Linked DNA regions of Drosophila melanogaster. The protein of the gene in region 1 purifies or fractionates together with the protein of each later gene. This does not show direct contact. Each region holds a gene or a part of one and is shown in the gene's direction. Other genes may lie near its edges.

The links.
Region 2: the proteins of cib (region 1) and CG2767 purify together in Drosophila melanogaster (affinity purification with mass spectrometry, with the first as the bait; one large-scale study listed by BioGRID). This does not show direct contact.
Region 3: the proteins of cib (region 1) and CG9705 purify together in Drosophila melanogaster (affinity purification with mass spectrometry, with the first as the bait; one large-scale study listed by BioGRID). This does not show direct contact.
Region 4: the proteins of cib (region 1) and CG11267 purify together in Drosophila melanogaster (affinity purification with mass spectrometry, with the first as the bait; one large-scale study listed by BioGRID). This does not show direct contact.

What each region holds. Positions count from the first base shown.
Region 1 is NC_004354.4:4,104,245-4,111,185, forward strand, and holds cib (ciboulot), read left to right. Parts: upstream 1-1,868; 5' UTR 1,869-2,029; intron 2,030-2,590; exon of another isoform or gene 2,591-2,683; intron 2,684-4,704; exon of another isoform or gene 4,705-5,126; intron 5,127-5,250; exon of another isoform or gene 5,251-5,265; intron 5,266-5,444; coding exon 5,445-5,580; intron 5,581-5,652; coding exon 5,653-5,766; intron 5,767-5,907; coding exon 5,908-6,047; 3' UTR 6,048-6,392; downstream 6,393-6,941. Other genes in the region: brn (brainiac), read left to right, coding at 242-1,219.
Region 2 is NT_033777.3:8,005,410-8,009,863, reverse strand, and holds CG2767 (uncharacterized protein), read left to right. Parts: upstream 1-1,753; 5' UTR 1,754-1,896; coding exon 1,897-1,968; intron 1,969-2,351; coding exon 2,352-2,532; intron 2,533-2,899; coding exon 2,900-3,027; intron 3,028-3,087; coding exon 3,088-3,647; intron 3,648-3,715; coding exon 3,716-3,764; 3' UTR 3,765-3,940; downstream 3,941-4,454. Other genes in the region: CG3223 (uncharacterized protein), read right to left, coding at 1-161, 235-376; CG11052 (uncharacterized protein), read left to right, coding at 813-1,017, 1,072-1,088, 1,203-1,312, 1,364-1,481; CG2698 (uncharacterized protein), read right to left, coding at 3,948-4,107.
Region 3 is NT_037436.4:16,778,233-16,782,927, forward strand, and holds CG9705 (uncharacterized protein), read left to right. Parts: upstream 1-1,867; 5' UTR 1,868-2,188; exon of another isoform or gene 2,189-2,272; 5' UTR 2,273-2,424; coding exon 2,425-2,558; intron 2,559-3,230; coding exon 3,231-3,353; intron 3,354-3,431; coding exon 3,432-3,606; 3' UTR 3,607-4,187; downstream 4,188-4,695. Other genes in the region: mus302 (mutagen-sensitive 302), read right to left, coding at 1-1,249.
Region 4 is NT_037436.4:13,014,070-13,017,414, forward strand, and holds CG11267 (uncharacterized protein), read left to right. Parts: upstream 1-1,980; 5' UTR 1,981-2,092; coding exon 2,093-2,095; intron 2,096-2,287; coding exon 2,288-2,449; intron 2,450-2,517; coding exon 2,518-2,664; 3' UTR 2,665-2,834; downstream 2,835-3,345. Other genes in the region: MICAL-like, read right to left, coding at 1-1,068; mRpL20 (mitochondrial ribosomal protein L20), read right to left, coding at 3,124-3,280, 3,335-3,345.

The sequences.
Region 1 (6,941 bases):
CGGAGAAAATAACTGTTATTGGCGGAAATGTAAAAATACGTGAAAAGAGTTTTTTTCTTTTACATATAAATAAATCAATGTCACACTTCTCATTCAACTGTAAAACAATTTTTTAGATTTGTAAGCACTCAATTTGAATGCTTTTAGTCTTAGTTATTTTATTTTTCGTACGGTAGATGGGCGTTTAGTATTTTAACCGCATCACGGTCACACTGGCGGATTTGTTTTTATTTTGGTCGCCATGCAAAGTAAACACCGCAAACTGCTGCTGCGCTGCCTCCTGGTGCTGCCCCTCATCCTTCTGGTGGACTATTGCGGCCTGCTGACCCACCTGCACGAGCTGAACTTCGAGCGGCACTTTCACTACCCGCTGAACGATGACACTGGATCTGGGTCCGCATCCTCTGGACTGGACAAGTTCGCCTACCTGCGAGTGCCCTCGTTCACGGCAGAGGTGCCGGTTGACCAGCCTGCGCGGCTCACGATGCTCATAAAGAGCGCGGTGGGCAATTCGCGACGTCGGGAGGCCATTCGCCGGACTTGGGGCTACGAGGGTCGATTCTCAGACGTCCATCTGCGTCGCGTGTTCCTGCTGGGCACGGCCGAGGATAGTGAGAAAGACGTGGCTTGGGAGTCCCGCGAGCATGGCGACATTCTGCAGGCGGAGTTCACGGACGCCTACTTCAACAACACGCTGAAAACCATGCTGGGTATGCGCTGGGCTAGCGATCAGTTCAATCGCAGCGAGTTCTATCTTTTCGTGGACGACGACTACTATGTTTCGGCCAAGAACGTGCTCAAGTTTCTGGGCAGGGGGCGTCAGAGCCACCAGCCGGAGTTGCTGTTCGCCGGGCACGTGTTTCAGACATCCCCGCTCCGCCACAAGTTCAGCAAGTGGTACGTTTCGTTGGAGGAATACCCCTTCGATCGGTGGCCACCGTACGTGACCGCCGGCGCGTTCATTCTGTCGCAGAAGGCACTGCGCCAGCTGTATGCCGCCAGCGTTCACCTGCCGCTCTTCCGGTTCGACGACGTCTACCTGGGCATAGTGGCCTTGAAAGCGGGCATTTCCCTTCAGCACTGCGACGACTTCCGCTTCCATCGGCCGGCGTACAAAGGTCCGGACAGCTATAGTTCGGTGATAGCCTCGCACGAATTCGGCGATCCCGAGGAGATGACGCGGGTATGGAACGAGTGCCGATCCGCCAATTACGCGTAGCAGCAAGAACAGGCAGGACTGAAGAGCGCTGCAGATTGTACATATATACGAACGAGACAGCACCTAGACAACAGCCTTATAAAGTATATTAGGAGCAGTGGATGATACCTCAACCGTTCAGTGAGACTTTAAACCAAGCAGCTGGTGCTAATAGTGCAAGATCGCAAGAGTAATTCAATTCTAATTGTAAGCGTAATGATAAAGCAGTTGATTCAATTCGTATATATAGAGATTATGTGCAAATGTCGGATAACGTATGTGTGGTCTGATACCTTTGAATGCAATATAAAGTTGATTAACATAGGAAAGCGAATAAAAAACTTAAAATAAATGATTGGCTTGCATTTGAGCAAAGTTTAAAATTGCCGCGCTTTTGCATGGTGTTTGTATCAGCTAGATGTGGTTCGTGTCTCTGCTAAATGAATCGTGTCTAATTCACAGTGAATGTGTTGGTTGATACATGGTGGTTGTATCAGCTAGGCGTGGTTCGTGTCTCCACTAAATGGACTGTGCCAAATTCGCAGTGTGACCATATATAATAATACCACCCAGGCCCAGTGTGACCGTGCAACCGCCCAGCAAAAATGACACAGCCACGCAAACGCGATAGTATCGCGGCCGTATAAAAAGCGGCGCTCACCGCCGAGCGCCAGTATTAAATTTGTGACGTCAAGAGCTCCGCTTCGCCACCATCGAAGGCCCAGCTTCGCCAAGTGTACAGCTATACATAGAAACATATATCAGGCCGACCCCGCCAGCATCCCAGCTTAGTAGTCCGCTTCGCCAATCCAAAAAAAAAACTAAATCAAGGTGAGTTTCATTTCTACTTGCAGATTGAAATTTTTATTTTTGTCAATTTTCGTTGATTTCGTTAAGTTTGGGGGATCGCCGGTAATTTCGTTTTTGCCATTGTAAGATGCGGTGGGGGTAATGGGGAATCCTAACTGGTTTTTGTTGACTGCGCTTCTTCGTTGATTGCGAAAATGGCAGCGGATTTGTTATAAATATTTATTGTGCTTGTCTAGTCCGTTACTTTTTCATCTTTCTCCTCGTTTCCATTTCTTTTCTGCTACTTTGTAACTTTTTTCCGCAGCTGTTGAAGCGCTTTTGTCGTCGCCCCTTTTGTTGACTATTATTTTTTGTTTTTTTTTTGTGTGGCTCAAACTTTAGATTTGCGCGTGTGTGTGTGCGAGTGCCGGCCGGCATTTTTAACTTCTTTTTTTTCCGCCGTCTGCTTGCCGCTGTGTGTATGCATGTGCATGTGCATATGTGTGGGTACTTGGGCGGGGCGCATGTGTGTCTCTGCCCAATATCCTCCCCCACAGTGAGCGGCACGAGAAAAGTGTCCTGCAAATTAATTAATTCATTTAGTGCCTTGGGTATCGCAGACTACAAATATTGCAGTCGAGGAACTTGGAATTTGAATTGTTAAAGAGGCGTTGGCGAAACTCTCGCTACTCCAAAGTAGAGCCATTTTTTAAACAACTAAGTTCGAGCACTTCTTGCTGGCGAATTGGCAACGAAAAGTGAACTGGGAAAGATAGAAAGATGGGATAGATGTACATATGCACATTTCACAAGGATGAAGTCACTATCTGTGCGACCTCGACTGTGCGATGTGTGTGCTGGCGAGTGGCGAATTGTGCTGGGCGTGGTGCTGTGTCACTTGGATATCCAATATCCAGCGATTTTGAAATTGAATATATGACTAAACGCAGCCGCCTGCATAAAATGTGTATATAATGTGCGCAACAACAAAGTGCTTAAAATTCATTGCAAGTCGCCGATTGCGCCTCCCTTTCGTTCTGTCTACCCCCCTCTCTTTCTCATTGTCTATCACTAGCTACACACACACACACACTTGTGCATTTCTGCAGGAGATGAGGGTGTAAATGCAAAGCGGACGTGTCTGTCATTTCTCATTTCCCCATCTCTCCGGCGCTCCAGCTCCTTTGCTTTGCGCTCTCTCCACCCTTTCTTCTCGCCTCCTTTTTGCACTCCGTTCGTCGGCTGTTTGCCACGCATCAGCGGCTTTGACTCATTTTATTTTACATACATATGTATGTAAGTCTGTTAAGTACGTATGTACGTGTAAATGTGCATATTCATATTCTTATTCCCAAAAAAATTTCAGTGTCTTTTGTTTTTAACGGTCTCTTGGCGCCGTCTCACTCACACCCCCGAAAAGAGCCAAAAGATTTACATATGTATGTATATCTGTTAGGGAATTAACCAAAACAGGAAGAAAGAAAGCAAAAGAAAAGCTTACAAAGTCGGGCGAAGAAGAAGCACAGCTGTGTGGGCAACGATAAATTCACCAGCAAACATATGCACATATGTACGTACATATCTATGTTTGGATGTATGCAATGTGCGGTGATTCATCAACGGCTTTTAAGCGGGACGACCATATTTCGAATTTCGAAGTTGGAAGTTGATTCACGGCGAACTTCATTGCCCCCACCCCCGTGAAAATCACCCCCTCGCCGCCCCGAATCGCCATAGCTCCCACTTTGTATGTATGCGACGTTGTTGTTGTTGTTGGCCTCTCCTTTGTTCGGTGCAAGGAGCTGACTAATAAGACACTCGTTTACACGATGACCAATTAATCGAACTTTAAACGGAGCGATCTAAAACACCATCGATCTACGTATAGGAATAGTTTCCCAATGAGTTTACATATTGAATCTTTATTGTTCAGTTGCCGTTTTCTCATTATTGGCTCATTGCTGTTATTTTGGTACCGATAAAGAATTGTGAGCAATTCAGCAGCATTATCAGAACAAAGATTGGCGGGCCAAATAATGTTGAATTAATCATCATCACTTACTGCAAATCAATTGATTTTTGGATTGGTCATAGTATTTGTATCGGAGTAAGGAATATTTGTGGGATTGCAGCAAGTCAGGCCTAGATTCGTGATAAAAGTGCTGCATGAACCGAGCGGACTACGATACGATTTTGCGCCAGGGGAAGTGGAAGTGGGGAGAGCGGGAAAATCGGCGGCCGTTAGTCAGTTAGTCAATCAACGTGATTGGCCAGCCGCTTGAGGCGCAGCTTTCCGACCATTTATGGCCATAAATGTGCAAATAAATAAATATATAGATTCGCGATGCCTTTTCTCCGCTTCTCTGCTTCTTCTCCGTTTTGCTTTTGGTGCGGTCGCTGCCCTTGTACCGATTGCATTTTAGCGCAGCTGTTCCATCGAATGCAATGCAGTCCCAATCCGACTGATGACTTGATACCAATAAGATATCGGTGCACAAAGAGGATTCTTTGTCCGGCGCAACTCTGATTGGAACTCGGGGGGCATGCTATGTGGCACGCACACTCGAATTTCGCAACTAAAAATAAACGTGATAAAATGCAGTTTAACCGCTCGACCAAGTACACATGTCTTCTGATAAGAATGCCAGTGCTAAAAAACAAAGGCCAAGAACGGCAGCAAAGCGAATTGGAGTCTTAATCTGTTTCCAGTTGGAAAGGTTCGCTGAACTCCTCGCTCTCTCCGCTCCGGACCGTTTCCTCTTTCTTTCTCCCTCCTTCTGATAGGAACACACACTAGCATGACTCGTCCTTGCTGCGCCTGTGTGTGTGTGAGTGTGTGCGTGCCTTTGAGTCATCGTTATCGCCCCACATTTCTCCACATGGCTATCGCTTGAGAAATCAACGGTCAACAAAGAGATATTACGTTTCTGTTTAAAGAAAATGAATTATTTATTAAGGCGCAACACAGTATCAACAAAAGCAAACAGTGAAGAGCAACAAATTGTCAATCGGAAAGTTGGCTTCCCCTTTCTCACCAATAACATCGATATCCTCTTCCGGCTTGGCTCCAATTGGATTTGTTGTTTCTAACTTGAAATGTTTACATAGGGAATTCGTTTGCTTTTCAATTGTTAATAAGGTAACAAAAAGGCGATCCAAGCCAAACAGTAATTGTAACAGTAACTTTTTGTATGCTTCGTTTGTTGTATTCCTTAAATTCCTTTTTCCCATGAACTATTAATTTAGTATCAATATTCTTTAAGACTTTGCTATCTAAGGTGAAACCACTATCATAATTCCCATATCAATTGGTTGTGTCAGCAAACTGAAACGAAGATCTTAACTAGTGATCGATCAGCAATTAAAGCTACAAGAAAAATAAATGATCCCAAAGAATAGATACGTTTACTATCAAGGCAAGTAATTTAAAATTCATCAAAAAACTTTATGTGTTCAGATGGCCGCCCCAGCACCAGCACTCAAGGATCTGCCCAAGGTGGCCGAGAACCTGAAAAGCCAGTTGGAGGGATTCAACCAGGACAAACTGAAGAACGCTAGCACCCAGGAGAAGATCATTCTTCCCACCGCCGAAGGTGAGTTGGCTATTGTTGGTTGGTGAAAGGCCGAAACCATGAACACCGAAATCTAATCCCCCTGACTCACAGATGTGGCTGCCGAGAAGACCCAACAGTCGATCTTCGAGGGCATCACCGCTTTCAATCAGAACAACTTGAAGCACACGGAGACCAACGAGAAGAACCCGTTGCCCGATAAGGAAGGTGCGTTCATTGTAGGCCATCTAGTATGTTGCATATTGTACATACATATGGTCCGGCCATAAAAGGCAGCCTGCCTTAGATGGCCAATGCAGGCTCTATAATTGTGTTGTTATTTCTCTATTTCTCAACCTCAAATTGCAGCCATCGAGCAGGAGAAGGAGAAGAATCAGTTCATCGCCGGCATCGAGAACTTTGATGCGAAAAAGTTGAAGCACACCGAGACCAATGAGAAGAACGTGCTGCCCACCAAGGAGGTGATCGAGGCCGAGAAGCAGGCTTAAAATGGGGGCTCCAATGTGGTCCACTCCGATCCGAGATCCGAGATCTGAGATCCGATCCGATCCGATCCTCAGTCACCCCATCTCTCTTTTTCGACTCGCCGCATCTCACTCTTTATACGTATAAAGCTATTCCCTCTCATTTTTCAACTGCTACCAAGTTATTCGAACCGCTGCGCATGCGCGTGATAGCAAAAGTATTTTACTATTATCGTATTTCGGTTGTCCGTTTTTTTTTTTTTTGCAATATTTTTACACATATATATATATATTTTTTGTATTAACAAGCAAGAGAGCCAGTCTCATTCCTACAGCGTAATTAACATAAAATAAACATTCGTCTATCCCATATATATTTGTGCATAAATGTTTCCAAAACACACGACAAACACACACATCATCATCGGAGGAAGAATAAAACGCAGATACAAAGCAATACGACAGCCAACTCACTCAGAACATTTACACAAGAAAAGACAGCAAATATATGAGAAATACTTTTTAAAAGACACGCAAAACGTATGAAGCGTATAAAACAGAAAAACAAAAAGAAATACGGTAGAAAAGCATCTATATAAAGAGTATGTGTAATTTTTTAATGAACTTTTTTTTATATACTTTACATACGATATATTTATACTGGGAAAAATAAAAAAAAAACATAAATGTAACATTTTATAACAAAAACGTACTAAAACTGCACCGACTTTTGCTTTCTTCGGGGGCGGAAAACTCTCAAACAATAAAAGAAACACAAATGGTTGTAATACGGGAAGTATGAACTCTTGATTCGTGGTAAATATACAAATATTTGCTTAAATCAAAGACACTAGAATAACAAGATGCGTAACGCCATACGATATTTTTGCACACGATTTTTTTTTATTTATTCTATCG
Region 2 (4,454 bases), on another chromosome or scaffold:
AAACAGCTCTTGAATATGCTTCGTGTTGATTTCGGCGGCGGCTGGCGGCACATACGGCGAGTAACGTTTAATCTTCTGAAAGCAGTGGATCACGGCGTTGGGCTGCAGCGTTCGGTTGAGGGTGTCTGCGTCCTCCAGCACGCGTCCGTGGTGGATGATCTCTGCAAGTGCGCAGCAAATGACTTGACACAATAGAGACAATGGACAGCGATTTGAATCCCGAGGGTCACTCACCCAACTCGCTGGCGTCGAATTGCAAGTGCATCTCTTTGGTCACCACCGCCTTTAGGTAGGCCACATCCCGCGTCAGATCGATGTTGTGTAGGGGATGCACATCGCTCAGCTTGTTCTTCAGAAGCGCGTACACGGTATGCATAGTGCGTTGATGTAGAATCTGCGTAATATTTGTAATTCACTATTTTGTCTGGGTGATTTTGTTTTGTTCAAAGACAGTTCGGAACTGGTTCCAACGAACCGCCTTGAACACAGGGTGACCCTTACATGCCCCGATAGCCCGAACCAGACTGATCGGGTCGACCGACGATTTAAAAAAGGCTAAAAAAGCTAGATCTAAAAATACCGCTCTAGGATTGCTGTCGAATTTTCAACATAAGTGTTCATTTGTTGACAATAAGAAAACGTAACTTTTGCTATTGTTTTTGTTTTACCTTGTTCAAGTCATTTCATTTAAAATGTACTGTTTTTAAAGCCATTGAAATTCAAGGTGACCCAAAATAAAACCCTCAATCCCTATCGACCTATCGATTTTTGACAGTTTCCGCTCCAAATATGTTAAATATACGAGTTGTAAAATGACCTCCCAAGAAACGCAGACTGAGGGTGAACGTAGGAGGGTAACTCTTCCATCTTCGACACCAGATAAAGGTACACCATCCAAAAAAGGCAGCGAGGAGCCCAACCGAATTTCGAACACAGAGTTCCAAAAAAGAGTAACATCGGACAGAAGCGATGAGCCGGTCTTCAGCTGCCAATTCGAAGTGTTCGGCATTGTGCAAGGTAGGGTATTCACAAATCGTATAGTCGCAATAATTAGTTATCTGGCACCAACAGGCGTTTCATTTCGAATGGTAAGAGCTTGCTGGGAAATGGGATCTTCAAAACCCCTTTGAGCTATGGATTTTCTGCTACCTCTTATTGTATATGTGAAATCTCTTTACTGTAATCCAATTACCATGTTTTAGTACACCTTGCGAAGAGCTCAAAAGCTGGGAGTCCGGGGTTGGTGCAAAAACACCAACGAGAATACGGTGAAGGGCGAAATTCAAGCACACCGACATTCCTTTGAGTCCATGTGAGTGATTTTTTCCATTCAACGTTTAATTATCAAGCCGTTCTTTTACAGGCGCCTCTGGCTAAAGCACACCGGCAGCCCCACCAGTCGAATTGACAAATGCATTTTCAGTGAGACTACAGAACTTTCAGAATTCACGTTCACTAACTTCTCCATAGTGGTGGATTAGTTGTTCTCTAAAAGCTTAAAATCATTTAGAAACGGAATTGAATTTTTCTTACACACACTTATACAGTATTTGGATATGAGCTACAAATTTTTCTATTGTTATAATATTAAATCTAACTAAAATGCAAATAAATTAGTCCGATATTTTATAGTAAACGAGCCTTAAACCATTTATGGTAAGTACATTTATTTTTAAATTCGATTGTTTTGTTAAACAAATATCGACTAGTAAGACCGCGCTTTGCAAAAGGCAGAATCTCATTGGATTGGGTGAGATAAGTGGGCCGGTGACTGGGTCGTAGCTTCTTGTTTAATTTCAATTCAATCCTCGAAGCAACAGGTTGTGCCGCATCTTTTCCATTTAATCTGTTACTCAAGTCTGTTTTAGTGTACAAGTTATCAAAAATCAATACAAAATGGTCAACACCAAGTTCTTAACGTTCAACAATGGAGAGAAGATGCCCGTGATTGGCATCGGCACCTGGCAGGTATTTATAATCACGTTAATTCTGTAATTTCATAGATTGCTTGTAAGTGGTTAAATGGATAGTAGATATTCGAATCTTAATACTATTGTTTCAACTTATTAATGACCTCAACAAATCGCTGACACGTCATTTAAATCTCTTGAAATTCCGATTCCGATGCAATCAACAATTTGGTTGGTGCTGGGGGACTTTAGACCGGTTTTCAAAAACAAACAATAAACCACCATTCATATCCACTGGTGGACTGGACTTTCTCTGGTCACGGGAGAATAAATATCGTTGTAAATCGAGTTTGAAGATTTTCGGGTAGTGTAGATTATGCAAATCCTATAATCAATATATATACAATACCACTAAACCGCACTTTCATCACCACAATGCAGGCATCTGATGAGGAAATCGAAACCGCCATCGATGCGGCTTTGGAAGCTGGGTATCGCCACATAGATACGGCGCCAGTCTACGGCAATGAGAAGGCCATCGGAAGAGTCCTAAAGCGTTGGCTGGACGCCGGCAAGGTCAAGCGGGAGGAGCTGTTCATTGTGACCAAGGTGCCACCCGTTTGTAAGTAGCATTTAGTAGTTGGATGGTATTTCAAAATGCCATATAAACATTTATAAATAGTTCCTATGTTCTATGCCCACAGAATCTTAAGATCCATAGAAACCAAAGCATTTTACACCAGCTACCAATATTCTTTTTGATATCTAGTTGATAAAATAAGACTAGGAACGTGATTTTAAAACACCAACATAGACTCCTTCAGTGTTCATAATTTCAATTTAAAAACATTTTTATTATCACCACATGACTCTTTGATATGATAAATGAACCTGATGTGAATGACTATAAATATAGCTGTGAGAGTTTTCACTATTACGAGTCCAGTTATTTCAAAAATAATATAATAATAATATAATCCTTGTTTTAGCCAACCGCCCCCACGAAGTTGAGCCAACCATCAAAAAGTCACTGGAAGATCTGCAACTGGACTATGTGGACTTATATTTGGTGCACACTCCCTTCACAATTAATATCAACGAGGACGGAAGCTTTAAGGTAGTTGTGCTACGGAATCTAATCCCAACTCCTATACACATCTCGAGCATTAACTTTCAGCTCGACAAGGAGGGCCTAATGGAGGTCGACGTTACCACGAACCACGCAGCCATCTGGGTTGCTATGGAGGCCCTGGTGGAGAAGGGTCTCACCAAGTCCATTGGGGTATCCAACTTCAGCAAGGATCAGGTGGCCCGTCTGTTGAAGAACTGCAAGATCCGGCCGGCCAACAACCAGATTGAGCACCACGTTTATTTGCAGCAGCGAGATCTGGTCGACTTCTGCAAGTCCGAAAACATTACCGTAACTGCCTACTCCCCGTTGGGATCCAAGGGAATCGCCAAGTTTAATGCTGGAGCGGGCATCGTGAGAGATCTGCCGGACCTGATGGACATCCCTGAGGTGAAGGAGATTGCCGCAAGCCATGGCAAGACGCCAGCGCAGGTCCTCCTCCGCTGGATTATCGACACTGGTGTATCCGCCATTCCCAAGAGCACGAATCCCGCTCGCCTTAAACAGAATCTGGACGTCTTCGATTTCGAACTGACGGCCGAGGAGGTGGCCAAGTTGTCTAGCCTGGACCAGAATATTCGAATCTGTGACTTTGCATTCTTCCATGGGTATAAAAATATGACTTAGCTTTAATCCCTCTATTTTATTTATTTATTTATTTTTATTTTGTTTACAGTGTGGAAAGGCATCCTGAGTTTACCTTCAAGAATCAGTACACGAACTAAACGGCATAGCTATATAAAAAGAATTCAAATGAACGCAGTAAATTCTTTTCCAAAACATTACTTTGTGTCGAAAGTATAGAAAAGCAACCATTTATTTTGTAACAGTTATAAAAAAAGTAATTACTCGCAATTCGGTCATTATACACAGATAAAATGTAGTTATGATATTTATATACAAATTCTTTACTGGTTTTCTTTGGTATTCAACAGTTGAAATGTCTTGGTTTTCGTTACGATTTTCAGCTCAACAGGTTTTCCCTCTATGACAGACTTTCCATCCGTGTTATCGTTCGTTTTTATTATACTGTCGTTAACAGTTTCGTTGACCCTTCGAGGAATCGAGCTGGAAAACCACTTTCAAATTCAAAAAAGCTTGCATTCAGCGGTAGTTAGTTAGTACAGAAATATATTTGCAAGACATTTTGTATCTAAGTTTAAACACATCACAATTTTACATTAAGCAATTAGTAGCGAGCACGATATCGGTACTTGAAGGCTTTGGAAATGTTTCGCGACTACAAATAATTCGAGGTACATTTTGTATGTAAGAACACTAAGATCGATAGAATAGATATTAAGGAGCGCTTGCTGCATAGACGGAATATTGAATAATATCATAAAAATCAATGTTCGCAAAGCGGTAAGATTAGCAACTGAGAAACGAACAACAATAGTTAAAGGAAGCTCCAG
Region 3 (4,695 bases), on another chromosome or scaffold:
AGAGAATGTTCTCGGGAAACCGCAAGTCGTAGATATAAACTCCACCTCGCAGATCTCCGCCGTATAGAAAGTGTTCGCGCTCGTTGCGATCCAGGGCGCAAGACCACAGCATCTTGTCATGAGCGGTGAACATAGACGAGCAAAGCCGTGTTCTTATGTCGAATATCTTGATCTTTAGTTCCCGACTGGCCACAGTGAGCAAGTGCTGTGAGTCACTAAAAGCAATGTCCCGGATTAGGAGTGCCGAGGTGTGCAGGAATTGCAGGGGCTTGAAGGTAGGTGGATCAATAAAGCGTACGCCGTAGCCGGGGAACAGGTTTTGGGCACTCTTTTGCGAGGCCACCAGCATGGAGTGCTTGGCGGAATAGAGCAATACACGGCAGCCGGGATCTCGAGTTATCTCGAAGTTCTTCTCCATGTACAATCGGTAGGTGGCTAGTTGTTGAATGCTCTTCTGGCCGGATGCATCGCCTCCGAAGGCTCCCCGACCACCACCTGCCCTCACCAGCTCCTTAAGCCGTTCGTAGTCCTTCTGCAGGAGAATCAGCTTCTCAGTGGTGAGTGTGTTAGCCAGCTTCGCGGTAGCCAGCTCTGTTGTTAGAGTATGTGTACGCCGCCGCTCCGCCTCCAGCTGCTCCCTAATATCCGTGTCCAGCATCTGAATGCGCTTCGCATACAGATGACGGATATCTCTAAATGTGGCCTTCGTCTTGCACTGCGGGCACACCTTCACAGAAGATTGGCGATGGCTTTCGTTTAACCACCGCCGAATGCAGCTTTCCCCAAAGAGGTGACCACATCGCAGCGAGACCAGTCGATGCTCGCCACTCATCTCCCAGGAATCCAGACAAATGGGACAGGTCATGCCATCGTCCTCGTCATCTACAACTATTGGTTTGCCCTCGGGCGACTTTTTAAGGCTTTTATCGGCAGCAGCGGAGAGACGTTTACGTTTCTTGGGCGGTGATGGCGTTTCTAATGAGATCACCTCCTGCTCTTCGCCTTGATTGCGGCGGGAATTTCTCGGGGGACTGGGCAAATGCGGAGGATCTACCAGAATTAAAGGCGGAACTCTCGGTTGCTCGGGTTCCGCGTTCTCACCAGGCTGGTCACGTTGTTCATCAATCTCAACCGCCGGCTGCAGACCTTCAACTGGATTGAGGATTACCTCATCATCACCAGAGCTATCATCTGTAGAGGTCTCATCGGCATAAACTTCCGGATCAAGAGCTTCGGTTTCATTCTCCATTCCTTGCAGCAGGATGTCTGAATTCCGCTTTCTCGCTTCAGACTGATCGCATTCCCTGCTGCCCGATGAGTATATTTCCGGATCCACGGCGCTGTCGCCTTTTGCGAAACCTTCGCTGTCCGTTTCACCTATATATGGTCTCAATCAAGTTTTCCTCTTGGAAAACATGAAAGTTCTTGTTATTATTTTATCTATTTCGCGACTTTCCTGCAATAGGACGCTAAATTTCAAGCTAGGGATGGTCAAGATCGAGATGCTTTAGTGATGGAACAACGGGGTGAAACTATCGAGTACTACATGTAAATAAATATATTTAAATATTCATTGTTAGTGTGGACAACATATTAGTCTGAACACATTTTTTTCGTATATCAAGCATATAAAAAAAGAATCTATATAAGAGTTGAGTGTTTGTGCGGAAAATGCAATTTTTTAATTGTTTAAAATAATTATAAATGCTTTCAATTAAATTTTCACATCTATTTATTCTACCAACAAGTTGGAGTAACTTGTAATTAATCCTGTTTGTTCGTTAAATTTGATTTTCAAATTTTATTCATGTTGCTATAAACATCGATTGCCAATTAGGCTAAGCGATAGGTTTTGGGATTTCTGGAACATTCCAAAACGTTCACTCTGAGGTCTGACTTTGACGCCTCCGCCGCCATTCGTTAAAAAACTGAAATTCTTAAAAAGCGCGCATCAAGCCGGTGTAATAATTGATAAAAAAGTTTAAAAAAATCCCAGATTCCAAAGTTGATAAAAGTCATACCGCGCAGGACTGATTTAGGGGGTACAAATAACATTGGCAACCGGCGTTTCGCACAGCGGTAAAATTTGCATCAGTGTGTGGGTGTTTCGCAAAAAAAAAAGAAGCTAAGCCAGGATTTTTGGATTGCCAATTATCAAGGTGCTAGGAAAGAGGGCGTGAAGTTGTCGGTAAGCTGACCGAGTACACGTGAATTAAGTGCAACGCAATTTGCTGACTGACTAACCCGCCCCCCGTGGCCTTGAACTCGACAGACTTGGCTGCCGTCCACTCACCCACAAACACACATACGCACATATATACACACGCGCAAGCCGCTTCTACTGTCTGAAGAGAGGAGAGGAAAAGAGCGAAGAAAGGGGAAGAACGCATAAATCGGCAAGTAAACGAGCAGTGTAAGAAAGCCATGACCGAACCAAGGACGCCCGAGAAGCTGCTGGCCGCCAAGCCGCCGGTTTTACACCACAACAGCCATAGTCCCAATGCCTCGCTGCAGCTGCCCAGTCCCATCATCACGAGGCGCACTCGCACGGCCTCGACGTAAGTCCTCCTGCACTGCCCTGCCCACCCAACCAGCAAAACCACCCACCCACTACTGGCCCCACACACACTTGACCCCAAGGGGAACTTGGCCCCTATGCAGAGCCTTTATGGGGCCAAATAGGCGCCGAAAGTTCACATTATTTCACAAGGTTCGCTCTTTTGTATGAAAACCAAATACAACCTTTTGAAATAGTAAAAGAATAGCATGGAAGCTTGTAATTTCTAAAGCAAAAGCTTTCTATAATGTTTTAAACTGCATTTGTTGAATTAGATGAGCAAACATAATGAAACAAACAGTAATTAGTAATCGAACATGGAACACTTTATTGGTTCCACATTTACATTTAATATATTTATTTTTATGTGTATATACTTATAAATATTTTTATAACCGTAAGGACCATTTTTTTTGAAAGTTTAAATTTGTAAACCCCATACTTTTTCAATTATTTCATTGTACATACATACATACATTCAGAAATCAGTCGCTGCCGAATTTATAAGCTCTCGGAACCCTTTCGAACATAATCCACGTACTTAAATTCTTCCCCCTCATATCCCCATGCGCATCCTCCATTGATTAACTTGTCTCTTCCTGCTTAATTCTTTTCCCAAACGCTGCCAAAACGCAAACACGCGCAAACTCAAAATAACGCTGAAAAAACATAGCTCCGCTCGGGCCTTGGAAAATCCGGTTGTGACCGGTATGGTGAAATCCTTCAGCCGCACCAAAGGACACGGCTTCATTACACCCAACGCCGGCGGAGAGGACGTTTTTTGCCACGTTTCCGAGTAAGTGAATGAATATTGCATGCGCGGCGACCTTTGCGCTGGCTCTGTAAGACCTACAAAAATGTAATCTTCCCACAGCATCGAAGGTGAATATGTGCCCATGCCCGGGGACGAGGTCAAATACCGTCTGTGCGCCATTCCGCCCAAGTATGAGAAGCACCAGGCCGTGCACGTGCAGATTAGCCACCTGACGCCGGAGGTGCACCACAAGTGGGAGGAGCCATTCTATGGTGGCTCCTCGCCCGCTAAGTAAAGCTGAAGCTTGTGGCCCTGGGAGATTTCGAAGCTCGGAAGCGGAAAAGTGTGTTGTTAAAAGCTGAACGGCCTTCCAAGAAATTTAATTGAGCTAGAGCACGCCACCCGAGATGAACGAAACGGAAAACCGGAACAGAACAATAACCATGAAAGTAAACGAAAGCACAGCAATCGAAGCAGCCAGGAAAAAGCCGAAACCAGACCAGAACGTAATAGAATGGAACAACAGGCCTGCCATCCAGCCAGCCAGCGAGCAGCATCACAAGAGTTTCAATTGAACACTTAATTAGAATTTAAGCTAAGCTATGGAAGTCAAACAAAACGCAGTCACAAATATTGCCTTTCCCTCTGGAAGAGGGGAGAGCAACCGCAACCAGTTTCGAGTATATTATTAAAAGCGCGTATGTATTTGGAAATTGAAATTGTTATTCGAGAAGCCACTAGCACAGCGCCTGCGATGCTGTGGTGCCCTGTATCAGTAATTACTTTTAATTATAACAAAACATCTGAATGTGTTCGCGAAGCAAACAAGCAAAATGCTCTCAGTAATTCACTTTATTATTAAAACAGCTGCAAAACAATTCCATCGGTGATTTTTCTGGAGTGGCGTGGGAGTTATCAGCATGGAGTGTGTATTGTACGCACAATTGCGGTCAGCATAATAGCCGCTTGCTTGTATGTGTTCTAATAAAATTTTATGCAAAATTATTAATCTTACGTTTTTATTACGGCATCTAAATGTTCATTTTAGATATTAGCTAATGTCTGATTGTAATATCACGATATTCATAACATGGCAAAATATTGTTTTAGCCGCAGCTGTAACTTGTATTTAATTTAGTGGTGTATCTTATCTGCAGTGAAAGCAGATACTTTTTGCAGCCCAAAGCATACATGAATTTTTGGCTCACTATTGAAAATATATTTCCTGCGTTCTGCAGAAAATCGAAACCGTAACATATTCAATAAAAAAAAACCAACCTTTTTGCCACAATAGATACCTAAAGATTTCCGCCCGCTAAATTTATCAAGTAGAGCCATAAATAGCCAAACCAACTCATACTCCTAAAATTATGGATTTCCATTT
Region 4 (3,345 bases), on another chromosome or scaffold:
AATCTTAAGTTTCTCTTTTGGAATGTCATTTTCCGGACTAACCGCCAGATCATTGTTTTGTTCAACGCCAGCATGTTGTTCATCGTCTAGTGGAAGAGTAGAGACTTTTGGTTTCTCTGGTATAGCGGGCTTTACAGGAGTTGTTGATTTATTATATTGTTCAATAAGGCCACCATCTTCTTCGTCTAGTGGAATAAAAGAGATTTTACGCTCCTCTGATAATATAGGGTTTACCGGATTAATAGTTAGTTCATTATTTTGTTCATCTTTGTTGGACGGCGGTTGGAAGTTTTCAGGCTTATCAGTAGTACGTATATCATTATCTTCCAGGTCTTCTTGTTTATCTTCAGCTTCAGAGTAATCAGAACTTTGTGCCACCATTTGTTTATCATTCGGAGAATCAGTAGTGGTTGTCTTTAACTTTAAAATGTCAGATTCCGGTTCACTTTCTTCATCGGGACAAGTCTCGCAACAGTATATGTTATTGACCTCCGTTTCATAAAAACTCCCGGGTGTGAGCAATGACGAACATCTTGCACATTTTAAGCATGTGCGATGATAAGCCCGTTTGCCGACAAGGACCCTTTCGGCGAGAAAAACAGGAAGGTTGCATTTCTGGCACTTATCACGTCGAGGCATCCCAACAATGTGCATCACCTTTTGCGGTGGCTCACTCTCTTCGCCAAGTGGCTCCTCTGGCTTCGGGTGCTTCAGGCTCTTGCCGAGCACCTTGTAAAACTGGGATAAATACGTTAGTATGGAGAGTCTATCAGGTACTTCATACGAAACCATGTCAGCTGCATCGAGCAGTGCGGGAATTCCCAAATATTTCTCGGCCGTTGTAAAGGCCAAATCGTTGTTCTCATAGATATCGTCTGCTTTAAGTCGGTCGAAATCTATAAGATCCGGCCGAAAGTGGTGTATTATGGCGCAGAAGGCAAGTCCATTTCGCCAGGAAGTGGTCATGTTCTCCACCTTGACCCCATTATATCCTTGGGTCACAACTCGGCACCAATACTCCAAAGCCTTCGTACCAGTTCCAACTTTTGTGCCACGACGATCAGACATTTTAGTGGGTTAATTGCTGGCTTATTGGCGAATATAACTAAACGAAAATAGCAGTCACAAACTGTAAACTAAGTGAACAACAAAAGCACATCGTGCCACTTGACTTGAGTAAAATCAAATAAGATTTATCTGGTACAAATTACATTAAATGTAAACAAGGCAAAACGGTGACTCAAATAAATCTCCCAATCAGATTTAGTGGTGGGAGTGTCAGCAGCTATCGATAGTTGTTTCGTGCTATTTTCCCTTCTTAAAAACAAGATGTTTAGAAAATTCTGAAATTTTTTAATTTTTCTCAGGAATGCCACACTTTTCAATTATTTTGTTGCTTGTCTTTATTGTCTTGCACTTTGCAACAGGGTGTAGTGTGAACAATCCGCTGCCAGAGTCAATCGATTTAAATCGCTAGTATCAATAGCAACTCCTTGGTTTGAACATACCTAATTTCGAGGAAGTAAACAAACAATTCTGTTTTATGTTTATTTTATATTATATTATATTTTAATATTAGTAAATTTGAAAAAATTAAAACACCAGTAAAGCCCAGAAGATTTCTGGGCTTCTGATTTAATTTCTTAAAAAACGATTATTTAGCTCAACAAAGATGAGAACAGAAAATTGCACAACATGTTTATTATAAATTAATGGAAATTAAATTAATATGTTTAAATTGCATATAAAAGGAGTAATTCCTGAAATTGGTATACAAGTTATTATGGAAGTCCACCCACCAGACTCATTTTCATCTTCATGTTTTATAGGAAATCAACTCGGCAATTACTTGGCGAAAAGTTTATTACCATTTTAAAAGTTATACACAACTATTAATTTTTGCATTGACTTCTCTCAGTGTATTCGAACAGAAAAAATTATTTCTCAATGTTATATCCGTGAAATAGCCTGGTCACACCGACGATAAGCAGTCCCGCATCTAGCGAGAATAGTTACGCCGGCACGTGTAGTTGAGTAAAAAGTTCACTCATTAACTTTTATCAACCGCTCCAGTTTGCATTTAAGAATTAAAATGGTAAGTTAAAAGTGCATTGCCCCATATGAGGTTTAGAAGACAGTTTGAAATCGAAGGATGATATCGGTTTTTCGAGAAGGTTCCACGGCTTTCGGTCCACATCCCATTCGCCGGGCTGTTGTGTAATCAATGAGAGAAACATGAAACATTGAAACATGGGTTAATTGTTGGGTCTTTTTTAATGATCCTCAGGCCGCCGCTATCAAGAAGATCATCCCCATGCTGGACCGCATCCTAATCCAGCGTGCCGAGGCGCTGACCAAGACGAAAGGAGGCATTGTTTTGCCGGAGAAAGCGGTGGGCAAAGTACTTGAGGGCACCGTTCTGGCCGTAGGCCCTGGCACCCGTAATGCCGTGAGTATTTCGCCATTATCAATGCAGAGATGGTCATCTAATCACTGAACATCCCACTTCATCCGCAGTCCACTGGCAACCACATTCCCATTGGCGTGAAGGAGGGCGATCGTGTTCTGCTGCCCGAATTCGGTGGCACCAAGGTGAACCTAGAGGGTGACCAGAAGGAGCTGTTCCTCTTCCGCGAGTCCGACATCCTGGCCAAATTGGAGTAGATCTCGCCTCCGGACACTGTCTCACAATTCTATGAATTCTATGCTTTTTATTAGTATGTAACACACCCACAAACCCGAAACTAAAAACTACAATAAAAGCTCATGCAATATTTTTGTTTGCATTGCGCATGGACCGTCATTGAATAAATTTCGAGTTACTTGTTAAAACTAGCAGCACAGGTGTTTTGTCATTAATCACATTTGTCATTTTACTCGAAAAAATATTGGATTCATTCGCGGAAAAGGTAGTTGCAGTAAATAAATTAATGATTTAGTATCAAATTTCATTCAGCAAGCAGAAGTTACGAATTATGTAACTAAATGTAAATACGAATTCGGAGTTAAAAACTAATCTAAAGAACAAATCCCAAACGATTTTACTCCCTTCAAAGTGAAAATTAAAGATTACACGTTTAAAACATACAAATATCTATATTTGAACTCCTACTTAAGGCTATGTTAATCCAACTTCAGGTTGCTCAGTCCATAGACCTGGTTAAATGCCGATCTCCGTTTGATGTCTGGCATTCCCTCCACAGCTGCCCGCTCTCGAGAGATCTTTACTAGAGCTTCAAAAGATCGCGGCTCCCAAATGGCGAGGTCGGATAGGACTTTTCTGAAAGATGTTATAGGTTGTTAAAGGATATGGGAATTTTCCGGTGGTACCCACTTGTTGAGCAG